Macaca fascicularis: one gene and its partners. The protein of the gene in region 7 interacts with the protein of the main gene of each other region in a pairwise test. Links are inferred from orthologs where the notes say so. Each region holds a gene or a part of one and is shown on either strand. Other genes may lie near its edges. The genes, in order: TRIM54, TFIP11, KIFC3, CCDC136, RALBP1, CDR2 and SMARCE1.

What was found.
Region 1: the proteins of SMARCE1 (region 7) and TRIM54 interact in binary tests that used the Homo sapiens proteins (3 or more experiments, as listed by UniProt). The two-hybrid records come from large-scale screens. The link is inferred for Macaca fascicularis from reciprocal best matches to the Homo sapiens genes SMARCE1 and TRIM54.
Region 2: the proteins of SMARCE1 (region 7) and TFIP11 interact in binary tests that used the Homo sapiens proteins (3 or more experiments, as listed by UniProt). The two-hybrid records come from large-scale screens. The link is inferred for Macaca fascicularis from reciprocal best matches to the Homo sapiens genes SMARCE1 and TFIP11.
Region 3: the proteins of SMARCE1 (region 7) and KIFC3 interact in binary tests that used the Homo sapiens proteins (3 or more experiments, as listed by UniProt). The two-hybrid records come from large-scale screens. The link is inferred for Macaca fascicularis from reciprocal best matches to the Homo sapiens genes SMARCE1 and KIFC3.
Region 4: the proteins of SMARCE1 (region 7) and CCDC136 interact in binary tests that used the Homo sapiens proteins (3 or more experiments, as listed by UniProt). The two-hybrid records come from large-scale screens. The link is inferred for Macaca fascicularis from reciprocal best matches to the Homo sapiens genes SMARCE1 and CCDC136.
Region 5: the proteins of SMARCE1 (region 7) and RALBP1 interact in binary tests that used the Homo sapiens proteins (3 or more experiments, as listed by UniProt). The two-hybrid records come from large-scale screens. The link is inferred for Macaca fascicularis from reciprocal best matches to the Homo sapiens genes SMARCE1 and RALBP1.
Region 6: the proteins of SMARCE1 (region 7) and CDR2 interact in binary tests that used the Homo sapiens proteins (3 or more experiments, as listed by UniProt). The two-hybrid records come from large-scale screens. The link is inferred for Macaca fascicularis from reciprocal best matches to the Homo sapiens genes SMARCE1 and CDR2.

Annotation. Positions count from the first base shown.
Region 1 is NC_088387.1:94,935,227-94,939,195, reverse strand, and holds the start of TRIM54 (tripartite motif-containing protein 54), read left to right. Parts: upstream 1-1,169; 5' UTR 1,170-1,482; coding exon 1,483-1,650; intron 1,651-3,969. UniProt on the Homo sapiens protein: May bind and stabilize microtubules during myotubes formation.
Region 2 is NC_088384.1:25,186,325-25,189,824, reverse strand, and holds part of TFIP11 (tuftelin-interacting protein 11), read right to left. Parts: intron 1,954-3,500; coding exon 1,785-1,953; intron 1,375-1,784; coding exon 1,131-1,374; intron 187-1,130; coding exon 44-186; intron 1-43. UniProt on the Homo sapiens protein: Involved in pre-mRNA splicing, specifically in spliceosome disassembly during late-stage splicing events. Intron turnover seems to proceed through reactions in two lariat-intron associated complexes termed Intron Large (IL) and Intron Small (IS).
Region 3 is NC_088394.1:53,871,698-53,875,197, reverse strand, and holds part of KIFC3 (kinesin-like protein KIFC3), read left to right. Parts: intron 1-2,475; coding exon 2,476-2,587; intron 2,588-3,500. UniProt on the Homo sapiens protein: Minus-end microtubule-dependent motor protein. Involved in apically targeted transport. Required for zonula adherens maintenance.
Region 4 is NC_088377.1:170,267,989-170,271,488, reverse strand, and holds part of CCDC136 (coiled-coil domain-containing protein 136), read right to left. Parts: intron 1,983-3,500; coding exon 1,788-1,982; intron 1,291-1,787; coding exon 1,063-1,290; intron 1-1,062. UniProt on the Homo sapiens protein: May play a role in acrosome formation in spermatogenesis and in fertilization.
Region 5 is NC_088392.1:77,877,596-77,881,095, forward strand, and holds part of RALBP1 (ralA-binding protein 1), read left to right. Parts: intron 1-1,119; coding exon 1,120-1,281; intron 1,282-2,203; coding exon 2,204-2,335; intron 2,336-3,500. UniProt on the Homo sapiens protein: Multifunctional protein that functions as a downstream effector of RALA and RALB. As a GTPase-activating protein/GAP can inactivate CDC42 and RAC1 by stimulating their GTPase activity.
Region 6 is NC_088394.1:21,353,323-21,356,822, reverse strand, and holds part of CDR2 (cerebellar degeneration-related protein 2), read left to right. Parts: intron 1-1,990; coding exon 1,991-2,103; intron 2,104-3,500.
Region 7 is NC_088390.1:61,713,819-61,716,168, forward strand, and holds part of SMARCE1 (SWI/SNF-related matrix-associated actin-dependent regulator of chromatin subfamily E member 1), read right to left. Parts: intron 2,209-2,350; coding exon 2,107-2,208; intron 1,439-2,106; coding exon 1,228-1,438; intron 802-1,227; coding exon of another isoform or gene 737-801; exon of another isoform or gene 723-736; intron 1-722. UniProt on the Homo sapiens protein: Involved in transcriptional activation and repression of select genes by chromatin remodeling (alteration of DNA-nucleosome topology).

The DNA of each region.
Region 1 (3,969 bases), on a different chromosome or scaffold from region 7:
TCTGGACTCTTTTCCCACTCTTGCCTCTTTGTGCTGCTGTTTCGTATCCTCCTCACACCGTGTATTTCCTACCCACTCAGGGTCACTAGCTACTAACTCCTCAGACTTCTCTTCCTGGACTGGGAGAAGGGCTAAAGAATGGCGGTAAATAAAAGAGCTTTTGTCCAATCCCAAGGCATATTTTGGACCCAGAAAAGACAAATTGTGTCTGGGGTGGAGGAAAAAGGCCTAAAGAAATTGCTTCTTGGCTTTTTGGCTAATATCAAGTGGAGAAAAAGACCTGTAGGAGAAAAAGAAGACCAGTGCTCACAACTGGGGCGAGCCTGGCTTGGAGAGGAGGAGTCCTGGACAACTGTGGAGCTGGGGCAGAGGCTTCCTGGAGCCTTATGATTATGACTTTGTCAGTGCTCTAAAATTTCCCTGGAGGTTGATTCCCTGGGTGCCCAAAATAGGTCCCTGGCATTCATGTCCTTTCTGCCCAGCTCACCTTCTCCCAATTTCCTAACAAATTTGAAGTCCTTAGAGTGGCTCCAGGGATGTGTTCACGAACCAGAATCCCACATTTCCTCGGGCGCATGCTCATAGGTAGGTCCAGGCCTTGGCACAGTACTCATTTCTAGCCTCTTGAGCTTCATTTCCTAGGGTGATATAAGAAAAGGCAGGCAAGAACAAAAATGAGCCAGAGGTATTGGACAAGAGGCTTGATGGAGTCTCTGGAGCTGCTGTTCTGAATCACACAGTCTTGAGGAGGAGGACCAGGGTCACTGGCTGAGCCTGTGGAGGAGGCAACTGCTACTGACTCTAAGTCTGGCAAGATCTTTCCTCCCACCCTGAGCTATGTATGGGTGCTTCTCACACAGGCAGATTTAGATTCTGTGTCACTGTCCTGGAAGAAGGGCCCAAGCCAGAGCAGGGGTCCTGGGCTCAGAGGAGCCTTCAGAGTGAGAGGGCAGCACCTTTGCTGACCCACCTTTCACCGTAAGCAGTGGTGCTTGCCCCTGCCCTTGCTCAGGGGAGTCACCCATTCCTGAGTGAGTCAGGGTCACTCACTCCGTGACAGCTGTGGCTCGCCTTACATGAGCTAAATTGGGAATTGGAATGTCATGCAGATGCCCCTTGTCTCCCCACCCCCACAGTAAAATTAATCTCCTCTCTGGGGAGTAAGGGACAAACAGTGCTACCCACAGAGTGAACAAGAGAGAGTCATTTGGGAAACAAAAGGAGGACTTTACAGAGAGAGAGGGATAGCTAAAACTACGTGAGCCTGCCGAGGGTGCAGAGCAGAAAGTAGAGACAGAAGTGTCTGAAGACTGCTATCTGGGACGAGACAAGTTGTTAAAGGGACAGGAGAGAGAGCAGAGCTATTTCAAGAGTGAGCCACAGAAGGGAATCCACAGGCCGTCTGAGTGAGGAAGGGTCTACAGACAGTGAGTGAAGGCCAGGAGCAGGACCCAAGCCAGGGTAGGCACAACCACCGAGGGGATGAACTTCACCGTGGGTTTCAAGCCGCTGCTAGGGGATGCACACAGCATGGACAACCTGGAGAAGCAGCTCATCTGCCCCATCTGCCTGGAGATGTTCTCCAAACCAGTGGTGATCCTGCCCTGCCAACACAACCTGTGCCGCAAGTGTGCCAACGACGTCTTCCAGGTGGGCGCCAGGGATGGGGCAGGGCCAGGTAAAGCAATGCAGACCTGTGGGGGACTGATCAGGTCAGAGCTAAGACCCCAGAAAGTGATGGATAGAGTGCTCTCTGAGGTAGGTGGTGGCTGTTGTGGCTGGAGAGCAGAAGGGCTGGGGTCCAAGCAAATCCCAGAGCAAGCATGAGTCAGCAGCTGCCCTGCAGGCTGGCAGGTACAGCCTGTCCATAGACGGCAGCTGGAGTGCTGGGATCTGCTGAGGAAAGGAGACCCTGTGGAAACTGGGAGGGAGGGGATCCTACACCGGCCTTTTAAGAGCCTGTGCCAGACTCTGCATTCCAGTTTGGAGTTTCACACTTTGAGAGCATTGCGGAAAATACGGAGAAAAGATTAATGAGATAATGAAACATTAAAAAACAAACAGAAAAAACCCAACCCTGTGAGAAAGCTCCATAATGGCAGTAAAACGATTCGTGTTTAAGGAAAGTTCAGGGCATCCGTTGTGGGGGACAGAGTTAGACGCAGTGGGCAGGAGACTGGGAACTCTCCCCAACTTGAGTTCATACCTGTTACCTCCAGATTGTTGAGTAAAGAGGCCTACTGGTTCAAAGCTATTGAGGTCACTTGACAAGAAGAGAGAAGGCAAAGAAATTTACTTTTAGAAGTCTAGCCAGTTTTGGTTTATTTGTGGTCATGGAGCCAAGCATAGCTAATCAAATTCACAGATACCATTTTAGCCACTGGTTTAGAAATAAAAGCTGCATATACCAGAATGGATTATAAGTGGGCTTTTTTTTCTTTTCCTGTGCTACCGGGGAGGTTCTAGTAGGCTATGAAATGGAACAGAGATCAGGGTGAGGGGCAAAGGCACACACACACACACACACACACACACACACACGCGGCCTTGCCGATTAAGCAAAAGCTCTGAATGTGGCCGGGCGTGGTGGCTCACGCCTGTAATCCCAGCACTTTGGGAGGCGAGGCCGGCGGATCACGAGGTCAGGAGTTCGAGACCGGCCTGGCCAATATGGTGAAACCCCATCTCTACCAAAAATACAAAAATTAGCTAGGCGTGGTGGCAGGCGCCTGTAGTCCCAGCTCCTCAGGAGGCTGAGGCAGGAGAATCACTTGAACCCAGGAGGCGGAGGTTGCCATGAGTCGAGATCATGCCATTGTACTCTGACCTGGGTGACAGAGCAAGACTCTGTCTCAAAAACACAAAAACAAACCCTGAATAGACCAGAGCTGGCTTAGTATGTGTGTCAGTGATACGGAACATCCCAAACAAGTATTCTTCAGTGTCAGAAATGATGAGGAAATGTGTTAAACACAAGGGATTTTTAACCTAACCAAGAAAATACTTCCCTCTTAAGTTCCTCGGGGCAGCTTGTTTGGGAAAGGAATGGACTGGCTAGGTCCCGCCATCCCACGATGTACCCTGTGACCCGCCCCTTGTATGTCTGCTGTGTGTCATCTTCACTGCAGACCAGCACTCTGTGGTCTCTCCTGCCATCTTCCCATTGAGGCCCATTCCCTCTCCTATTCTTTTATGTGTCCAAACCTGCCATTATTCAGCTCCAGAGTATCTCAGAGGCAGTAGATTTTCCGTCTCGGGGGACCCAGACCAAATGCTATGCCTCCTCATCCTGGGCATGAAGTCCTGCATGAGAGGCAATGCTTTGCCCACCATCTTGGTGTTTCCTTGGTCTGAGGAATTCCGAACATCCTTCAGGCTGAGATGCCTAGGAGGAAATGGCGGAAAGATTTTGCCATCATTTCTCATGAACTGACAGTGAAACATCCTCTCACTGGAACTTGAAATGTGTGAAAACAAAGAGAAGTTTTGAAAGTTAAGGTGACGTGTCCTATAGAAAAGTGGTCAGAATGTCCAAGAGCATTCCTGGGTGCCTCTGTCGTCTGGCAGAGGGGCCCAGGAGCAGTCCCCATACATGGAGGCTAGAATGTGTTCAAGTGACATGCTTGTTTAAGTCAACCCTTTCTACCCAAGCACACTGTTTCAGTTCCAGAAAGCTCTGGAATACTGATCTGGGCTCAGAGAGACCTTGGAATGGCTTGGGGCAAACCCTGTACAGAATATTTGGAGATAACGTGATACCCAGGGCTTTGGGGTGGCCCTGTGGGTCTGGAGTGATGTGTGTCGTTTGAGGTGCAGAGCAGCCCTGGCCCCTCCAAGGAGGAAGAGTGAAGAGCTCATCCCTTGCTGCTTATTTGGGAGGGCCTGGTGGGAGGCTGACCCAGTTCTTCAGCTGCACTCAAGTCTGTATATCTCAATATATCTCAGTAGATCTCCCTCGGAAAGATGAGC
Region 2 (3,500 bases), on a different chromosome or scaffold from region 7:
CCACCCAGTTCCCTCCCCCAGAAAGCCAAGCAAAACAGTGTACCTGAAGCCACTTGGGGAAGAAGTGCTTTTCAAGAAGTCCCACCAGACTAGAGACAGAGATCATCCCTTCCCAGTCGATCACCCAATAGAATGCATCCATGTGCTGCTGGTGGGGGTTAATGACTAGCTCACCAAGACACATCCCTGGAAGAGAAACCCGGTCTATAAGGCACAGCTTTAGTACTGGCAAAGCCACAGAAGCACAAAGAGCAAAGATAATGTCCGTTTTCCTCTCAGGTCACAACAACCTCCACCTCCTGGGTTCAAGTGACTCTTGTGCCTCAGCCTCCTAAGTAGCTGGGAGTACAGGTGTGCACCACCGCGGCCGGCTAATTTTTGTGTTTTTATTAGAGACAGGGTTTTGCCATGTTGCCCAGGCTGGTCTCAAACTCCTGATCTCAGGTGATCTGCCACCTCAGCCTCCCAAAGTGCTGGGATTACAGGCATGAGTCACGGCTCCTGGCGGTTTTTTTTTTTTTTTTTTTTTGAGACAGGGTCTCACCGTTGCCCAGGCTGGAGTGCAATGGCAGATCTCAGCTCACTGCAACCTCTGCCTCCCAGGTTCAAGCCATCCTCCCTAGTAGCTGGGACCACAGGCACATGCCACCACACCTGGCTAGTTTTTGTATTTTTGGTAGAGATGGGGTTTAACCATGTTGCTCAGGCTTTAATCTGCTTTAAAGGTCAAATTTAAGCTCCTGACATAGCAATTCTTAAAAAAAAATATATATATATATATATATATGTTTTTTTTTTTTGCTAAACCAGAAATAACTCCCTAATAATTTAGAATAAAATACCACAAAAATTTCAGAACTCCAATGGCTGTCCTGTTACCAGAAGCCAAAGCCAATCAGGAAAACCACAAGGCACAGAGTCCGATGTTGTTACTGTCAACTATTAGTCGCTGTTGTAAACAAACAGCGGAAAGGACCCAAGTTACATTTATGTTCAGCCTCTGAACAGCAAGGAATATTGTGTACTAAGCACTTTCATGAATACAAAGGCTATGCTTTAAATCACCACTGACCAAGAAACCAGGGCACCAAAGCTGCTGGGCTTGGACTGCATTTTCCCCATATCCTTACCCAGCTTGGGCACTATGTTTTTGACCATGAATGCTTCCCAGGAGCCAGGAGTGAAGACATCCTTCCAGGGCTGGAGGATAAGCTTGGCAGAGGAGTCACTGGGGTGCCACTTCTGCAGGGCACTGGACAGCTTGCTACGGATGGGGGAATAGAGCGGCTCCAGCCGTGCCTGCATAAGGGGCAACCATGGGTGGATCCAAGAGTGGATGGGAACAGTGTCTGTGAGCGGGTTCCAGTTTTCCACCTGCAATGTGGGGAGAAGAAACAGAAGAAACAGTTCATGTCGCCTATTGGGCAGTCACATAACACCCGTGTGGTTAAAGGCAAGAGCTGCCCCTGGAGGAGGCCCCATGCTCTCCAAGGCCCATGGTCCTTTGTACATCGCCAAACAAATATGCCCATTCATTTGATTACCTCTCAGAAATAGCATAATTCTAATTTTAGTGAAGAAATCAAGAAAATGAATTCCCTCCTGAGGGTGGCTTGGGGGGAAAAGTGCTGAGAAAAAGGCTGGAATTAACACTCTAGGTCAACAGTTGTGTTGACAAATTCTGTTAATTCCAGGCATTTTAACAGCACTGAGATAATGAAGACATAGACTGAACAAGTCCCTGTAGTTAGTGATGACAGTTGTTCCTGTGACTCTCACCCCACCTCCTTTTGCAGCTTGGGGAAGATGAGTTGGTCCAGTATGTTATCTAAGATCCACACAGGAATGATGTGCACCCAACTATCCAAAAAGTCCACCATCGGGTCACAGTTCCTTGGCTGCCACTGAGTGACAATATTTCGAACAAAAGGCATCCAGACTTCCCATATCAACCTATGGGAGAAAGGCAGAGGACAGGCTGGTTAATTACACTGATTGGTTTCAAAGAACACCACCACCGCCCACCTCTCTAGAATCAGAAATAAAAATGCAACAGCATGGAAATCCGATCAGAGGAAACCATCAGGCCAGTCACCATGCTGGCCAGACCTGAGCCTGCTTCTTCCTTGTTCTCGTGACTCTCCTCTCGAACTGAGGCCTTGGTCTCGTAGGCAGTGCCCGCCCACCTGGCAGAGCTGCTTTAGGGTCACAAGGGTCTCTTCCTAGGTATCAAGTGCTTTCCCACCTATAGGCTTCTATTCATGAGCTGACATCTCTCACCCTCTGATCACAGTTTCAATGTCACCTCCTCTAAGACCTCTGTCCTAACCCCCATTCCAAGGAGGTCGCTCCTGCAGTTTTCTATCGCTGTACCTGGTGTGCATCCTGCCTTTATTTGTTCACTACCTTATTTCCCATCTGCCTTTTCTGCTGTACTAAAGACAGAGGCTGTCTGCTGTACTAGGGTAAGCCCAGCACCTAGCACAAGCATGATATTCAACAGACATTTGACAAGTGTCAGCTGAATTCATGGCCAAATGTAATTGTACAACCACTATGGAAAACAGTGTGGAGATTCCTTAGAAAACTAAAAGTACAACCACCATTTGATCCAGCAATCCCACTACTGGGTATCTACCCAGAAGAAAAGAAGTCATGGCTGGGTGCGGTGGCTCACGCCTGTAAACCCAGCACTTTGGGAGGCCAAGGCAGGCGGATCATGAGGTCAAGAGATTGAGACTATCCTGGCCATCATGGTGAAACCCTGTGTCTACTAAAAATACAAAAGTTAGCTGGGCGTGGTGGTGCATGCCCGTAGTCCCAGCTACTTGGGAGGCTGAGGCAGGAGAATTGCTTGAACCCCGGAGGCAGAGGTTGCAGTGAGCCAAGATCACGCCACTGTACTCCAGCCTGGCGACAAAGCGAGACTTCATCTCAAAAAAAAAAACACAAAAGAAGTCATTTTATGAAAAAGATATTTGCTCACACAAGTTTACAGTAGCACAATTCACAACTGCAAAAATGTGGAACCAACCCAAATGCCCACCAATCAACAAGTAGATAAAGAAACTGGTACATATATATATAATGGAATATGACTCAGCCATAAAAAGGAATGAATTAATGGCATTCGCAGCAACCTGGTTGGAATTGGAGACTACTATTCTAAGTGAAGTAACTCAAGAATGGAAAACCAAACATCTTGTGTTTTCACTCATAAGCGGAAGCTAAGCTATGAGGATGCAAAGGCGTAAGAATGACACAATGGACTTTGGGGACTTGGGGAAAGGGTGAACGGGGTGCGGGATAAAAGACTACAAATTAAGCCAGGCACGGTGGCTCACGCCTGTAATCCCAGCACTTTGGGAGGCCAAGGCGGGTGGATCACGAGATCAGGGGATGGAGATCATCCTGGCCAACATGGTGAAACCCTGTCTCTACTAAAAATACAAACATTAGCTGGGTGTGGTGGTGCGTGCCTGTGATCCCAGCTACTCGGG
Region 3 (3,500 bases), on a different chromosome or scaffold from region 7:
ATTCCAGTTACTGAGGAGGCTGAGGCAGGAGAATCACTTGAACCCGGGAGGTGGAGGTTGCAGTGAACCAAGATCGTGCCACTACACTCTAGCCTGGGTGACAGCGAGACTCTATCTCAAAAACAAAAAACATGCTACATACATATTTTTTAAAAAATTATTTATTAGAGACAGGGTTCATTATGTTGCCCAGGCTGGTCTTGAACTCCTGGCTTCAAGCAGTCCTCCTGCCTTGGCCTCCCACAGTGCTGAGATTATTGGTGTGAGCCACCATGACTGGCCGATACAGTCTTATCTCTGTTAGGTTTAACTTAATTCTTTCAAGCTGTACTTGTATATATGAGAATAGCCAGTGCCTCTTAAGTGCCTCCTACATGTCGAGCTGTTTATAGCCGTTAGCTCCTTGAATTTGTATGATAGCTTTGCAAAGACTAATATATTTTGGGAACAGAATATAGTTCTTCTTTTTTTTTTTTTTTTTTTTTTTTTTTTTGAGACGGAGTCTTGCTCTGTCGCCCAGGCTGGAGTGCAGTGGCGCGATCTTGGCTCACTGCAAGCTCCGCCTCCCGGGTTCACGCCATTCTCCTGCCTCAGCCTCCTGAGTAGCTAGGACTACAGGCGCCCACAACCGCGCCCGGCTAATTTTTTGTATTTTTAGTAGAGACGGGGTTTCACCGTGGTCTCGATCTCCTGACCTTGTGATCCGCCCGCCTCGGCCTCCCAAAGTGCTGGGATTACAGGCGTGAGCCACCGCGCCCGGCTATAGTTCTTCTTTAAAAGAGTATGTCAATAATACGTGGACATGGTGAAAAGTCAAACTCCATAGCGGGGCATCAGGTGAATAGGAAAGGCCTCTCTGCCACCCACCCAACTCCCCCAGTGTGGCCTCTCAGCATTTCCCCCTGACCATTCTGAGCATGCTTAAGCCAATTGATATGTGTGTGTGTGAATATATGGTAGGCCCCTCCCCCACTCACAGGTTCTGCGCTCCCAGATTCAAGCAACCACAGATCAAAAATATTTGAAAAAGATTAAAAATAACAGTACAACATTTAAAAATAATAGAAGTAAAAATAACATATAACAACTATTTACACAGCATTTTTTTTTTTTTTTTTGAGACAGTGTTTCGCTCTTGTTGCCCAGGCTGGAGTGCAATGGCGGGATCTCAGCTTACTGCAACCTCTACCTCCCGGGTTCAAGTGACTCTCCTGCCTCAGCCTCCTCAGTAGCTGGGATTACAGGCACATGCCACCATGCCCAGCTAGGTTTTTTTGTTGTTGTTGTTGATTTGTATTTTTAATAGAGGCAGGACTTCACCATGTTGGCCAGGCTGGTTTTGAACTCCTGACCTCAGGTGATCTGCTCACCTTGACCTCCCCAAGTGCTGGGATTACAGGCATGAGCCACCGCACCCAGCCCCTACCTGGCATTTTCATTGTATTAGGTATTGTAAGTAACCTGGAGATGATTTAAAGGACATGGGCGGGGCTGGGCACAGTGGCTCATGCCTGTAATCATAACACTTCAGGAGGCTGAGGCAGGAGGAGCACTTGAGCCCAGGAGTTCAAGACAAGTCTGGACAACATAGTGGGACCCCATCTCTACAAAAATAAAAAAACTAGCTGAGTGCTGTGTCCTGCACCTGTAGTCCCAGCTACTCTGGAGGCTGAGGTGGGAGGATCGCTTGGGCCTGGGAAGTCGAGGCTACAGTGAGCCAAGATAACACCATTCATGGTGAGTTTCCACCACGTCCACGGAGCTGTGATTGCACTCCAGCCTGGGCAACAGAGCAAGACCCTGTCTCAAAAAAGTAAAGTATATGGGAGGATATGTGTAGGTCACAGGCAAACACTATATCATTTTATATCTGGGGCTTGAGCATCTGTGGAGTTTTATATCCTCCATGGTTACCAAGGGACGACTGTATACACTGTATACACTTTCCTTCTACCCCAGAAAGGGGACGTGTGATTCTGTATACAGCGGGATACTGTATGTGTGATTTTGCATCTTCTTTCCCCCTGTGAAATGTAACTGGGAGATCTTTATAGATTCATGATTTAGATGGTATTATCCCTGTTTTCCAGATGTGAAAATTGAGGCTTAAAGACATTGAGTCAGCAGTCTCAGATCCCCAGCTACTCAGGGGCAGAGCTGGAATTTGAGTCTGGTTGAATCACATAGTCAAGCACTCATGCTATGGTGTGGAGGCTGAGTCCTGGCTCTATGCTTATTAGCAGAGCAGCCTTGAGCTGTCAGCTTAGAGTCTCTGGGGCTCAGTTTCATCATCTGTAAAATGGGGATGGCAGCAGTACCTACCCAGAGGGGTGATTGCAATAGTCTGACATGTGATAGTGTGTGTCAGGTACTCAGCCAGGGGCAGGAGGCAGTGAGCACCCCTCAGGGGTGGGCAGTTGGGCCAGCAAGGCTGATGGAGCTGACCCCCTGACAGTGGTGTGCACCCCCCACCAGATAGGCCAGGCCATCGAGGAGGTCAACAGCAACAACCAGGAGCTGCTGCGCAAGTACCGCCGTGAGCTGCAGCTGCGCAAGAAGTGCCACAACGAGCTCGTGCGGCTGAAAGGTGACTGCAGGAGGGCTGGGGGTGGACACCAGCCTCGGGGCCTCGACCTGGCTTGGCAGTCATGCCTGGAGCTCACCCCACCGTTGAGGCGCTATTCTAATCCCATCTCTGTAGATAAGGAAACAGAGGCACAGAGAAGGCAGGGAACTTGCTCAAAGCCACAGGGATATTAAATGGTCCGCCTTGGATTTGAACTTGAGTCTGTCCAGCTCAGAAGCCCTGGCCCCAGTGCTTGGGCAGGTGACTCCCCAGGCCCTGGATGGCCGAGGGGTGTGGTACTGCAGCACTGGGTTGTTGGCAGCTGGAAAGCCACTTGTTCTGACCTGGGGCCTGGTCAAGCTTGAGACTCCACCATGCACTGCATGGAGCTCTAGAGTGCCTGCTCTGTGCCAGGTGCCGTTCCAGCCCGAGGCTATGGTCATGGCCCCACAGACTGCCTCCTGGTGCTCACTTTAGTATGAGAATGGACAATGGTGATTGTCAGGGAACCCCAACCCTGCCCCTTTCCAGGGCTGAGACAGGCTCTCCTGGGTATGGGACAGGCAAATGTGTTGAGGGGCTTCCCAGAGAAGGCAAAGTTAGAGCTGAGACCTGGATGGTGAGCTGGAACAGATGGGTGAAAAGGGAGGGCAGGTGGGCCATGCTGGAAGTGGGGGATGTTTCCTCTTCATTACAAGAACACAGGAATCCCAACGAAGGCTGGAAGTAGATGGTGGCATGACCAGCTCATGCTGCCAGATACCCTTGTGGCTGCCCCACTATCTGGGCCCTCAGATACACCATCAGTCATCACCTGCTGCCAGGCCTATATGCCCATCTGATTCCTAAGCCCTGTCCTGCCATTCAGAAGGCTCTTTGCTCACTGGGGCCCAAGCCCCTCATTGTCTAGATGAAGAAACTGAAGTCCAGGGAG
Region 4 (3,500 bases), on a different chromosome or scaffold from region 7:
AGTCTCCCTGCCCACCCCTAGTTGTAAAATCAGCCTGGCCTTGAACGCGGCAATATGAAGAACTGGAATCAAAGTCTCACTATTAGTTCCTGTATCTCCTGCCCCAATTCTGAATCTGGCCTCTGGGCATGTTTCCCAGGCTCTCTGGGCCTGGCTTCTTGGCGCTGATGTCCAGGATGAGATCTGATCAGTTAAGGAAATATTTTATACCTGGTTCCCAGCTGTGTTACCCAGGCCTGCAGCCTGGACATCTGCTGCCCCTGGAATATGATCCAGCCTCACAGTGTTGACTTCTGCTACTCCCTGGTTCTCCTTGTTCAGAATAAGATCTGAATGAATAGATTCGGCCTAAACCGAAACTGTCTACCTGCCCCTCCTCACCCACGCTGAGACCTCAGAACAACTTTAGCCCCCAACCCTGAATAGAATTGTACGGTGATCTCCACCTGTGTCACCTCATCGGTATGACCCCTTGCTGGTACTTGAAAGGCATCGATTTTCTGGTCTAACCCCTGTGACCTTGCTCTGTTATTGCCACCAAAGTTCCAATGAAGATAGTGTGGTCAGTACTAAGAACCCCATGTGCTAGGAATTCTTCTCTTGGAAATGAAAGGGCCCAAATTTGCCTCACAGATAACACCAAAGGTGAACGATTTTGATAACTGAGAACCGTACTTTTCCACTCAAGAAAAAGATGACATGTTTAGAGTCAGTCCAAAGGAATCCAACTATACATCTTACTAGGAATGAGTCAAATGATCCGATGACAGATTTTGGGTCATCCCAGCTCTGCCCTGAGTGCTCACAGTGCTTCAACTGGGCACTGTGAATATCAATATGATAAAGGATAATGGCATCTAGGTGAGGTCCTCAGGCTGTATCTAAAAGCCACCTCTTAATGGAGCCTGAAAGAGGTCACAGGTGGTGAAGGGCAGGGCTTTAGCCTTATCCTTACCCCTGGCCAAACAGGCCTTCCCAACTCTGACCCTTCAGCAGTGCCCACTCTCCCTGTCATGCTGCTGTGCTCAGGAGAACTGTCTCCCTACCTCTTGCTATGGTTACCTTGTTTCGATTATATTTTGAGGACTTAGCCAATTTGGAATCATCGGGATTCTCCAGCACTTCCTGGAAATGAGACTCTTTGAAACGTCGCAGCTCTTCGTGGATCTCTAATTGTTCTTTTAATACACAGTCCTGGTTCTGTATCAGCTTCTTCTGTTCCTCCTGCATGCCTTGGTAGAGCAGCTGCAGCTCACACAGGTCTTCTAACTTGGTGAGTAGCTCCTGACTCTGAGGCGGAGTAGAAGGAAGGAGGCAAGGGATTGTGGTGGTTACACAGAAAGTCCGATGCCTCCTTGGTGCCTCATCCCTGCTGTGAACAATTCCCTGAAGAATCTCAGGGCTGGCTTCACAGAGCCCATCTGGGGACAGGGGGAGTCTTTCTATGGAGACCAGCTAAAAGTAGCAATGGTTTCTTACGTTGGGATATATTTTGTCATTTACAAAGTGGTTTCAGGTGCATTTTCTCCAGATGGACTAAATAACTAAATATAAACTGCTGCACAGATTCCAGAGTATAAAAGGTATTTTAAGATTTAAAGCCCTTATAAGAAAAACTCTAATTGGCTCTATGGAGCTTTTTGGTTTGGGGAGAGTGGTGAGAAAGTAAGGAGTCATTGGTAAGAAGAAGAAAAAGTTCAACCTCCACCCTTCTATTTTTCCCTAGTCACACAGGGAAGCTTCTCAGAGCAGCTTCCCCAGTTAGCAGCTGCCTCTGGCGGAGTTACCTTGAGTAAGAGGCCACTCTTGGGCAGTGGCAGTGTGAGCCTGTGCAGCTCTTCCTGCAGCTGGCCCTGCTCCTCCTGCATCCTCCTCTGGTCCTCCAGGAGCTCACACTGCTCCATCTGCAGCTGCCCCATCTCCTTCTGGCTGGCCTTGTACTTTTCCTGCAATTCTGTCAGTCTGGACAGCAGTGTGTCACACTGTGGGTGGGGGCGGGTGCGGAGGGGGTGGTTACTCTGTAAGGTAAGCTTCCTGGGTGGCTAACAGAGCACTTCCGCGCTCTCCTGCCTCTTGTGATTCTCTCCCTGTGCAGTCACTTTGGACTGGTCACCCCAAGCCACAATGCACCCTGGCTGTTTAGATACCGATTGGGGATCCCCCACAGGCTGGTCTTTCAGAGCAGGTTGCTCTAGACTGGTGGCTGGCCTTGCTCTAAACTTCTACCATTCCTTTCTGGGGGCAGTTTGATGGCGAATGCTATCGATGCCCCTTTCCTCTTCTCTGGCCCTTTCCTTTGGTGTATACACCATATTCCCACCCTGCTGGGAACTCTTAGCTCCTGTTATTCTCATTAACCCCAGTTGTTTTTGAATGCAATTACACTCCTTACCAATAAGGACCTAATTTCACCCTAATTTTTCCCATTTTTGCTTTCCTAATTCTCTCTTTATATCTTTAGAAAGTATGCGCTATTGCTGAATTTGGATTGAGAAGTCTAAATCATCCCATTTCCAAAAACCCAAATCTTCCAGTATCAGACAGATCTCAATGCTGTTTTATGGCTAGAGAAAAAAACAGGTGCTGTCTGCCAGCATGCTTCTCCTTTCCCATCGTTTTTCCCATTAGGGGAAGAGGTGACGAGCAAGTCACGGATCCCCTGGGCTCCTAAATTGAGTAGAAGTGGAAAAAGGAGGAAACGTGAGCCTGGATATAGAAAGGCAAAGAGACTGTTGAGGTAGCCCAAATAACCTTCCCAGTCCTCTGTCTCCTGAAGGCCTTTCCCCAGGGACAGGAACTACTGAGTTTCTGGCAGAATGTGACCAGCTCCACCATCTTTAGAGACTCTTGGGCCTTTTCTCCAACATGCTTCAACACCTTTCCATTTCCCATCAGTAATCAGGAGCTGAAAGTGCTCAACAGGATAAATGATAACGGCTTGCATTTTATACACTATGGAAAAGAAAAAAAATGAATAAGCCCTTATTTATCACTATCAGGATTTACTACTAAAAGGAAGTGAGATAAGAGTAGAATTCTCTTCCATTTAAAGAGGGCACAATTCAACCTTCAACAATTTAATTACTGGCAGGGCATGGCAGCTCATGCCTGTCATCGAAGCTTGGGAGGCCGAGGCAGGTGGATTACCTGAGGTCAGGAGTTCGAGACCAGCCTGACCAACATGGTGAAACCTCGTCTCAACTAAAAATACAAAAATTAGCCAGGCGCGGTGGCATGTGCCTGTAGTCCCAGCTACTCGGGAGGCTGAGACAGGAAAATCGCTTGAAACCAGGAGGCAGAGGCTGCAGTGAGCTGAGATCGTGTCACTGCACTCCAGCCTGGGTGACAGAGTGAGACTCTGTTTCAACAACAACAACAACAACAAAGAATTTAACTACTTCAAAGTCACAGAATAAATCCTGAAAGAGCCTAGGTCCTTCTCTTGCCTAGTCAGCACTCTATATTCCATTGTCTACATACATGGAATCATGTGTAAAACC
Region 5 (3,500 bases), on a different chromosome or scaffold from region 7:
CCCACTCTACTCCTCTCTGAGTGACAGAGCAAAATTCTATCTCTAAAAAATACTCTTCTGTTATTCATTGGTTACACTTTGAAAGCAAAATGTTTCTCAGATTTTAGTTTGATCATTCATATTAGGATTTCAGGATCTGGTAAATATTACATTGATACTTAATATTACTATAATATAATAGAGATGGTTGTATCATAGAAGAGTCAAGTGTGTTGTAAGAGTAAGTTTTAGGTAGGAAGTAATTTCTTGTAGTAGCTTTTCAGCCAACCTAATGCCCTGGTCTCCTAGCATGTGAACATCCACACTTAAATGCTGGCTGTGTCCAGGTATTTGTTTCTGGAGTGAGGGCTTTCAACCTCAACCCAGTTTTACTGCTGTGGTGCTCTCACTTCCCTCACGGTCCTCATTCAGCCCATTGTAGCTGTTAAAATATCTCAAAGTAAGTTCAAAATAAAGAACATAAGATGTTTTAGCTGGGCATGGTGGCTCATGCCTGTAATCGCAGCACTTTGGGAAGCTGAGGTGGGTAGATCATTTGAGGTCAGTAGTTCGAGACCAGCCTGGCCAACATGGTGAAACCCCATCTCTACTGAAAATACAAAAAAATCAATCAGGCGTGGTGGCGCACACCTGTAATCCCAGCTTACCAGAGAGGCTGAGGCAGGAAAATCGCTTGAACCCATGAGGTGGAGCTTGCAGTGAGCTGAGATTGTGCCACAGTACTCTAGCCTGGGCTACAGAGCGAGACTCCATCTCAAAACAAAAAAACAAAACAATACTCAAAAAAACATAAGGTGTTTTAATCAGTTAATACTGTAGTGATAGAAAAAAAAAACAAATGAATGGGCATCAGCTTCTCTATCCTTTTCTTGGTTTTTTTTTTTCCTCTTCAATTCTTTCTGGTGCTTGAATACATGATTTAACTCATATTTTATGAGTCTTCTTCTTAAATTGACCATTTTCTTCTTAAATTGACCATTAACTAGCAAAGACTGTGTTGTCAGTACTGGGTAGAATTTTCTTTATGTGTCCAGGATTAAAGGATATATTATGTTAGACACAAATAACTGAAATAGAATGATAATTTTAATGGTTTTCTTGTAAATCTTTTTTTCTTAGATTAGCAATCGAGTCCTGTATGTGTTTTTCACACATGTGCAAGAACTCTTTGGAAATGTGGTACTAAAGCAAGTGACGAAACCTCTGCGATGGTCTAACATGGCCACGATGCCCACACTGCCAGAGACCCAGGCGGGCATCAAGGAGGAGATCAGGAGACAGGTGTGTGCACCCTGCCTGCCACAGCCTGCGTCTGCATTGGCCATTGTGGAGTCCAGTGGTGATGGGCTCTTGTTTCCTGAGCACTTTCTGTGTGTCTGGAGCTATGTGAGGCACACTGAAGTCAGAAATTCCCATCTGGTACTGTTTCATGCTGAATAAGTCGGAATACCATGGTGGAAAGAGCATAGTTTTTGGAATCAAAAGACCTGGCTTTAAATTCTTGCTCTGCTCTCAGTTATAACTGATTTTAGGCGAATTCTTAACCACCTTAAGCGCTGGTGTTCTTGCTTTAAAATGGGCCCTCTTAAAGGATTGGTGTGAAGATTTTGCCACAAATGAGACAATACATGAAACAGGCCAGGCACGCTGTAAATAGTCTAAAAATGTTTGCTTTTTCTGGACAAGGTTGCTGTCATCAGCCATATTTTATAGATAAGAATATTAAAATTTGGGGAAGTTAAGTAACATGATTATTTATTATAGACCCAAGAGTTGAGCCCAAATCCTGGGCGTTTTTACTATGTTATTTTGATGGAAGTAACCATGCCGTGTTTGTGTGGGTGTGTGTAATCAAGACTAAATAAGAAAGTTAATTACATTTGATTATTTATTTGCATGCACTTTATCAAACCCCTGCTTGCTTTTCCTCCCTTGTGTCTGCCGTGAGCTCCCAGTTCTTACTAGTTAATGATGATGACATTGGAGATGGGGATGTTAAGTATTATTGAACCAATACAAATTAGCGAATAATTCATTGGCAAAACAGTAAGAATGATTTTTCAATCATATCAGTGCCATTATTTTACTCTAATGAAATAAAGGATAATTGAAAAATAGTTGATTCTTCATCTTTAGAAATTGCATGTGTTGTTTAAGATAAGAGGATATGGAATGCAACTTAGTGTGTGGCATTGCTTTCTAGGAGTTTCTTTTGAATTGTTTACATCGAGATCTGCAGGGCGGGATAAAGGATTTGTCTAAAGAAGAAAGATTATGGGAAGTACAAAGAATTTTGACAGCCCTCAAAAGAAAACTCAGAGAAGCTAAAAGACAGGTGGGTTACTAGTTTGATACCTAATGTTTATAATAGAACGTGTTGGAGTCTTTTATGTCCTTTATGTGCTCTTTGAAGTATTTTCTTTCTTTCCTTTTTCTTTTGATATTGACCAGGCTGGTCTCAAACTCTTGGCCTCAAGTAATCCTCCCACCTCGGCCTCCCCCAAAGTGCTGGGATTACAGGCATGAGCCACCACGCCCAGCCCAAGTTCTTTCTTTTAAGAATATTATAGATAATGTCACTTGAAGTGAACTTCTCTGGTGGGAAATTTATTCACTAAAATGTTTCTAGTCCTGTATTATTGATATTGCAGCCTGGTGTCAGTCACATGTTTCAATGTAATCTAGAACGTTTTTTTAATTTTTTTTGAGACAGGATCTCGCTCTGTCACCCAGGCTGGAGTGCAATGGCATGATAATGGTTCACTGTAGCCTCGACCTCCTGGGCTCAAGGGATCCTCCTACCTCAGCGTTCTGAGTACTGAGTAGGTGGGCCTACAGGTGTGTGCCACCATGCTCAGCTGATTTTTTATTGCTTGTAGAAATGGGGTCTTGTTATGTTGCCCAGGCTGGTCTCAAACTTCTGGGCTCAAGCAGTCCTCCCACCTCCCAAAGTGCTGGGATTATAGGCATAAGCCACCATGCCTGGCCTAGAAAGTTTTGTTTTAATTAAAAATGAATTTACTAAAAAATGTGTCATTTCCTGCTCGGTTATACCTGTAAACAAGGCTTTCTGCAGATGAGAAGCAGGCTGGATGGTGACACACCTTCGGGGACTGCTGGAATTTGAGGCATTTAGTATCAGCTCTTTGGAAATGTAGTGATGAGGGTTGCCTGGAAGGTCCTGAAGATCAGGAGAGATTCTATTTATGTAATAAGAAGAAGAGGGGCATGCAGTACCTGATGAGTTTAGGGTACACCAGTCAGACTTTTGAGTTCCCTCTTGTTTAGTGTGTGTTGCTTGGTTCTGGGACTGTGAGTGGACCAGCCACAGCAACAGTAAAATCCCAGATCTCTGGATCACCTTAAAATCCACATTGCAGATCCACTGCAGCATCTAAACAGCACATCCAAGGATCATTAGTTAGCCCTTGCCTGAATTGGGGAACATGATAGTAGGTCTCTGTTGTGGTTGTGTTAAAAAGACAAAGGCAACCTGAGTC
Region 6 (3,500 bases), on a different chromosome or scaffold from region 7:
TGGCCATCGTGGAGCCCCTCTGATTTGACACCCCGCCCAATACATTCTGCTCCACTCTCCTCAGCCTCCTTAATGGCTCAGTCATGCTTCCTCCCAGGGGCTTTGCACTTGCCTTGCCTCTGCCTGGAGTGCTGTTTCCCTACACGGATCTACATGGGTCACTTATTCCGTTCCTTCATATATCAATTCTAATGTGGCCCTAGTCACATGCTCTTAAATTTCAGCCTCCCACATCCACACTCCTCCTGTACTTCTTTCTTGCTTTATTTATTTATTTATTTTTTTGAGACGGAGTCTGGCTCTGTCACCCAGGCTGGAGTGCAGTGGCACCATCTCGGCTCACTGCAAGCTCCGCCTCCCGGGTTTACGCCATTCTCCTGCCTCAGCCTCCCGAGTAGCTGGGACTACAGGCGCCCGCCACCTCGCCCGGCTAGTTTTTTGTATTTTTTAGTAGAGACGGGGTTTCACCGTGTTAGCCAGGATGGTCTCGATCTCCTGACCTCGTGATCCGCCCGTCTCGGCCTCCCAAAGTGCTGGGATTACAGGCTTGAGCCACCGCGCCCGGCCACTTGCTTTATTTTTTCTCTTTAGCATTTATCACTGTCATGTTTTATTCTGCTGTTTCTCCCAGTAGAATATAAGCTCCATGAGGGCAGGGATTTTTTTTTTAATGTGAGTTCCTTATGGCTCCTGGGCAGTATCCCAGTGCCTAGAATAGTGTCTAATATTATTGAGTATATGCATGCATGCATGAATACTGTTTATCACAGTACGTGAGTTTAGTTACTCATTTGTCTGACTTCCTCCACTAATCTGGGAATATCAGCAAAGCAGGACTTCATTTTATTCACTCTTCTGTAGCTAATGCTTAGCATAGTGCCTGGCGACAAAAACATTCATTTGTGAATCAGTGAATATTAGTAGTACTTTGTATGCATATTGCAACTTGGTTTGTAAAGTACTCCTTTATGTATTATTATTTCATTTGATTTTCACAATCTCATATTGATAAGACATATCTCATATTAATAAGTCATCTCTCTAAACAAGAATACTAATTATAGGGGCCTCTAAAGTCACCATATTGAAAGTATTCTGGTAAATGATAGAACTGGGCCTGAGACTTACCTGCCCAGAGTACAGTGCATTTCCCACTGTATCAAAGGCCTGCTCCATAAGATTTATTATGCAGAGAAGTATTTCAATGACCTATGTTACAACTAGTGTCCTTTATTATATTGTTAACTAAATTTTCATTTCTGGGAGTTGAGTATAATATAAACAAATCCTGTTTTATGGACATTATGCCTAAGAGTAGAGAGAGTTGAAAAATGAGATTTAAAATAAAATATAATTCTGTGCTAAATGGAAGTATGAGCTACTGACATGTAATTACCTCGAAAACCACATTGCTGTTTTGCTTTTCTAGTTGTTCATCTTGCAGAAGGATACAAAGAAAAGTAGAGTGACCTGGGGCAGTGTTCTTAATGCTGATGTATTTTTCCTTTTCTTGACTGAATAATTTTTAGTCCCCTTAGGAGCCCAGGATATATGACAATAAACTTTAACAGTTGTATTCACAGCAGCCAAATTCATGGGAACTTTAAAGATTTTTGAAAGCTCCACCTATACTTTGGCTCAAGGGTCCATTCAAAAAAGTAGACTTGTCGGGATATGAATACATCGATTCTACTAGCAAATGGGATTTTAGAAGTAACACTGCGGAATGATCATTCCTGAACAAATAACTGCATCTCCATAAAGTAGATGACTATTTTTCACTTCTTACAAGTATGGGTACATAAGAGAATACTTTACCTGCTGGAGGCATCAGTTTAACTGAATTTTAAGTAGAACTCAGGTTTCCTTCTGTGCCACTCAACCTTCCATTGGGATGTGACCTAAACTACATGTTCTTTTTTGAAGGACTCGGTTATATAAATTGTTGATGTGAGATCATTTGTATTCTAAGATTCGTTTGTTGTGCTAGATCTCCAACTTGCTGCTGAGCTTGGGAAGACATTACTGGATCGGAACACAGAGTTGGAGGACTCTCTTCAGCAGATGTATACAACCAATCAGGAGCAGTTACAGGAAATTGAGGTAATTCACTCGGCAGGAGAGTTACACTTTTGACACTTTGATGTGTTGTTGTTATGTCAATCACATACTGGTAAAATAACACTTGCAATTAGACACAGCATTTTATTTTTTAACACAGACTGTTTTGAGAATAAGAACCGCCTCCCGAGTAGCTGGGATTACAGGCGCCTGCCACCACGCCCAGCTAATTTTTGTATTTTTAGTAGAGATAGGGTTTCACCATGTTGGCCAGGCTGGTCTCGAACTCCTGACCTCAGGTGATCCACCTGCCTTGGCTTCCGAAAGTGCTGGTATTACAGGCATGAGCCACCACACCCAGCCTAAAAAATGCAATATTTAAGATATACAGAATGGTGTTTAAGAGAACAATACTATGAATACTCATATATCCACCACCTAGCTTAAGAAAGACGACTACCCACACTGTTGAACTTCCCACCAGAGAGGGAACTTACACCTCCTCCTTGGTCGCATATCCCTCCCACCTACTACTAAACCATATCCTAAATTTGGAAAAAAAAAAAAAAAAAAAATCATGGCTCCTTATTTCACAATGTGTTCAGATGTTTTGCTCCATTCAAATAATCATAAAATACATGTTGCTTTCTCTCTGCTGTGATCTTGATTTGTTGACATTTTTGCTGGATATTTTATCATTAAAATACTACATTTTTGACTGAGTGTGGTGGCATATGCCTGTAATCTCAGCACTTTAGGATGCTGAGGGAGACAGATTGCTCAAGCTCAGGAATTCGAGACCAGCCTGGGCAACCCGGTGAAGCCCCATCTCTACAAAAAAATATAAAAATTAGTCTGGTGTGGTGGCGTGTGCCTGTAGTCCCAGCTACTTGGGAGACAAAGGTGGGAGAATCACCTGAACCTGGGAAGTCAAGGCTACAGTGAGCCGTGATTGTGCCAGTACACTCCAGGTTAGGAGATGGGAGCGAGACCTTGTCTCAATAAAAAAATATAATAATATAATACCTTTTGCCTAGCTTAACAAAACTAAAATGAAAGATGCTAGACTAGGGCGTTAAAATGGCCCTCCATGCTGCTAATCTTATAAACGGTCCCATTCAAGTAGTTCAGTTATGTGTAGGCCACTTGACTGCAAAGATAATAATGGATATTAACCAGACAGTGTCCCATCAGAACACCTTTGTCCATGTCCCAACCCATGCTCCCCGCCACAAGGGGACTGTACTTAAATTATATAAATGCTTCCCCCTCAAACTGGTACAGTAGACCCAGGACTCTTGTGTCTGTGCACAGAAAAATGTAAAAGACTAGAATGGTGAAGTAGTTCATTATAATGAGTACTTACTAAAACTTTGATTATTTCCTGAACCAGGTGCTGGGAATTCAAACAAGTAAAGAATTACGTAGTCCTTTCTTAG
Region 7 (2,350 bases):
CTTTTAGACACTTTGTTTAAAGTCATGCTGGGCTGTTTCCTGTAAGAAATTAAAAGCATGAGGTTTTGGCTCTAATAGTCTCAAACAATTTTCTTCAGGTTTTTTCCTTGAACTAGGAGGACAGAACCTGAGTAAAGACCTGCAAACCTTAAGCATAAGACATGCCCCATTCATAGATGCCAAAACAGAGGCAAACGACTGAGTGTTCGTCTAGTTGTAAAATTAGCAAAAATCAGTATTTTATTTTGCAAGCTTTTGTTTTAACCACAAAAATGTGCTCATGCTCCAAATTCATTAAGATGAATGAATTCACGTTCATACAAAACAGAAAGAGACTCAGAGAGTTAAACTTAAAATATGACTATTTAAAATGTTAATCTGCTGGATTAAATTTTGCAGAAATACCTGGGAAAGATATCTATATTCCATTCATGTTTTCCAGATGGCTGTCATTTGAGTACAAAGTATGGCACTTGGAGGTTGTCATTTGAGAACCAAGTATCACTACTGTCCCTCCCACTTCTTTCAACGATGCTCCAGGAAGCCTTTGGTTTTGTTTTCCATAACTACTTTTAGCTGAGTCCTGTTTACACAGTGTACTAGGCAGTGTCAAAACAGTGCTATGAGGTAAGGTGATCTCAAAATTACAAGTGATGATCAATGTAATCAGTACTTTATGTAAGTTTTATTTATACAAGTTATTTTTAATTTTATTTTTTTACCTTGAGGGATGCTTTTAATCAGGAAAATCAGTATACCTAGAAGTAAGGGTTTTTCTAGGATAGAGCTGGCAATTTTTTTCTGTAAAGAGCCAGACAGAAAATATTTTAGACTTCGCAGGTCAGGCAGTTTTTGCTCCAACTACTCAACTATACTGTTTTAGCCCCAAAGCAGCCACAGACAGTATGTAAACAAACAAGTGTGGCTGTGTTCCAGTTTTATTTACAAAAACAAGTGATGGGCAGGATTGCCTTACAGGTATTACTTTGCAGAATGCTGTCCTAGGACACCAAAGACAATTAATCTTAACAGTAATAACCACATCTTGATAAATAATGTAAGCATTAAAGGTTAAAATTTTGAATGTCAGTATCATGTCAAATCTAGTACTCGGAATCACCCTCAGTGGCAGGTACCAGAATACCTGCACTTAGAAAGAAAAACCCAAATTAAAGACAGCCATACAAAGTCTTGGCACTTCCTTTGCGTTTGTTGCTAGTGGGTTACCTGTCTCCATTGGAATGTTCTCATCGTCTTTCTTCTCCTCGCCTTTGTTGGCTGCTTGTTCTTCCTCAGGAACGATGCTGCTCTGACTGCGCTCAGCTTGCTCTGCGGCCTCCTTCTCCCTTTCCTCCTGCCTTTTGCGGGCCTGTTCCTCTGCCTGTGCAATCTCAGCTGCAATTTTCTCCATATCCACTTCTACTTTCAGACCGCACAACTAGTCAGAAAAAAACAGAACTCGGTAATGTTTTTCCTTATAATTTCTGAGCCAGATATATTCTTTCAAAAGTTGGTTTCCTTGCCTATGAACTATATATATATCTATACACCTGTGTGTCTGTGTATGTGCGCAAAAAAATGTGGTTCTAGGTCTTCTCTGAAACTCTTGGGTCTACAAGAAAAGAAAACTGCTCTAGCAGTCATATAATATGGGATATTCCAGAGCAGCTGGTGAGGCAAAATAGTGAAAATTCTGGGGTATACATAAGGCTTCCATTTTACATTCTGGGCTACCAACTAGATTTCCTTGTCTGAATGCAAAGTGCAAACTATAAATTACATTTAATGAAGACATTTGATGAATAAATCACAATAAAATGAAAGTAGTTAATGACTGTATGGGAGTTTAAAATATCAGAGGGCTCTAGCATTTATAGGCCTAGTAGATATGCATATACTTCATGATATTTCAAATTTATTGCAATTTTGTCAAGAGAATGGGAACAATTTTATAAAAAAAAAAAGATCTTACAGGTTTTATAGTAAAGTTAGCCCTGTTTCAAAGTGAACAACATTCAATAAAAATACTATTTTGGAAAAAAGAATGAGGAAAAGTAAAGTAACAGGTACGGTGATAAAAGTATAGTTAACATATTAAACAGATACCCTTTTAAGTTCATTGTTAAATGAATCTGTGCTTTCCAGGAATTTCCTCTTCTTCTCCTGGTGTCGTTCCTCTATTTGAAGAAGTTCAGCTTCTAGTTTTCGCTGCAAGACAGGATCAGGCTTTACAATCATATCTCCTGTTTTAATGGTTCATACTTTCAAACAGTGTACCAAATAATGTTTTGAACTTTAGATCATTTATTACATGAGTCTAGCTAAGATTTAAAAAATACAAAATGCAGCA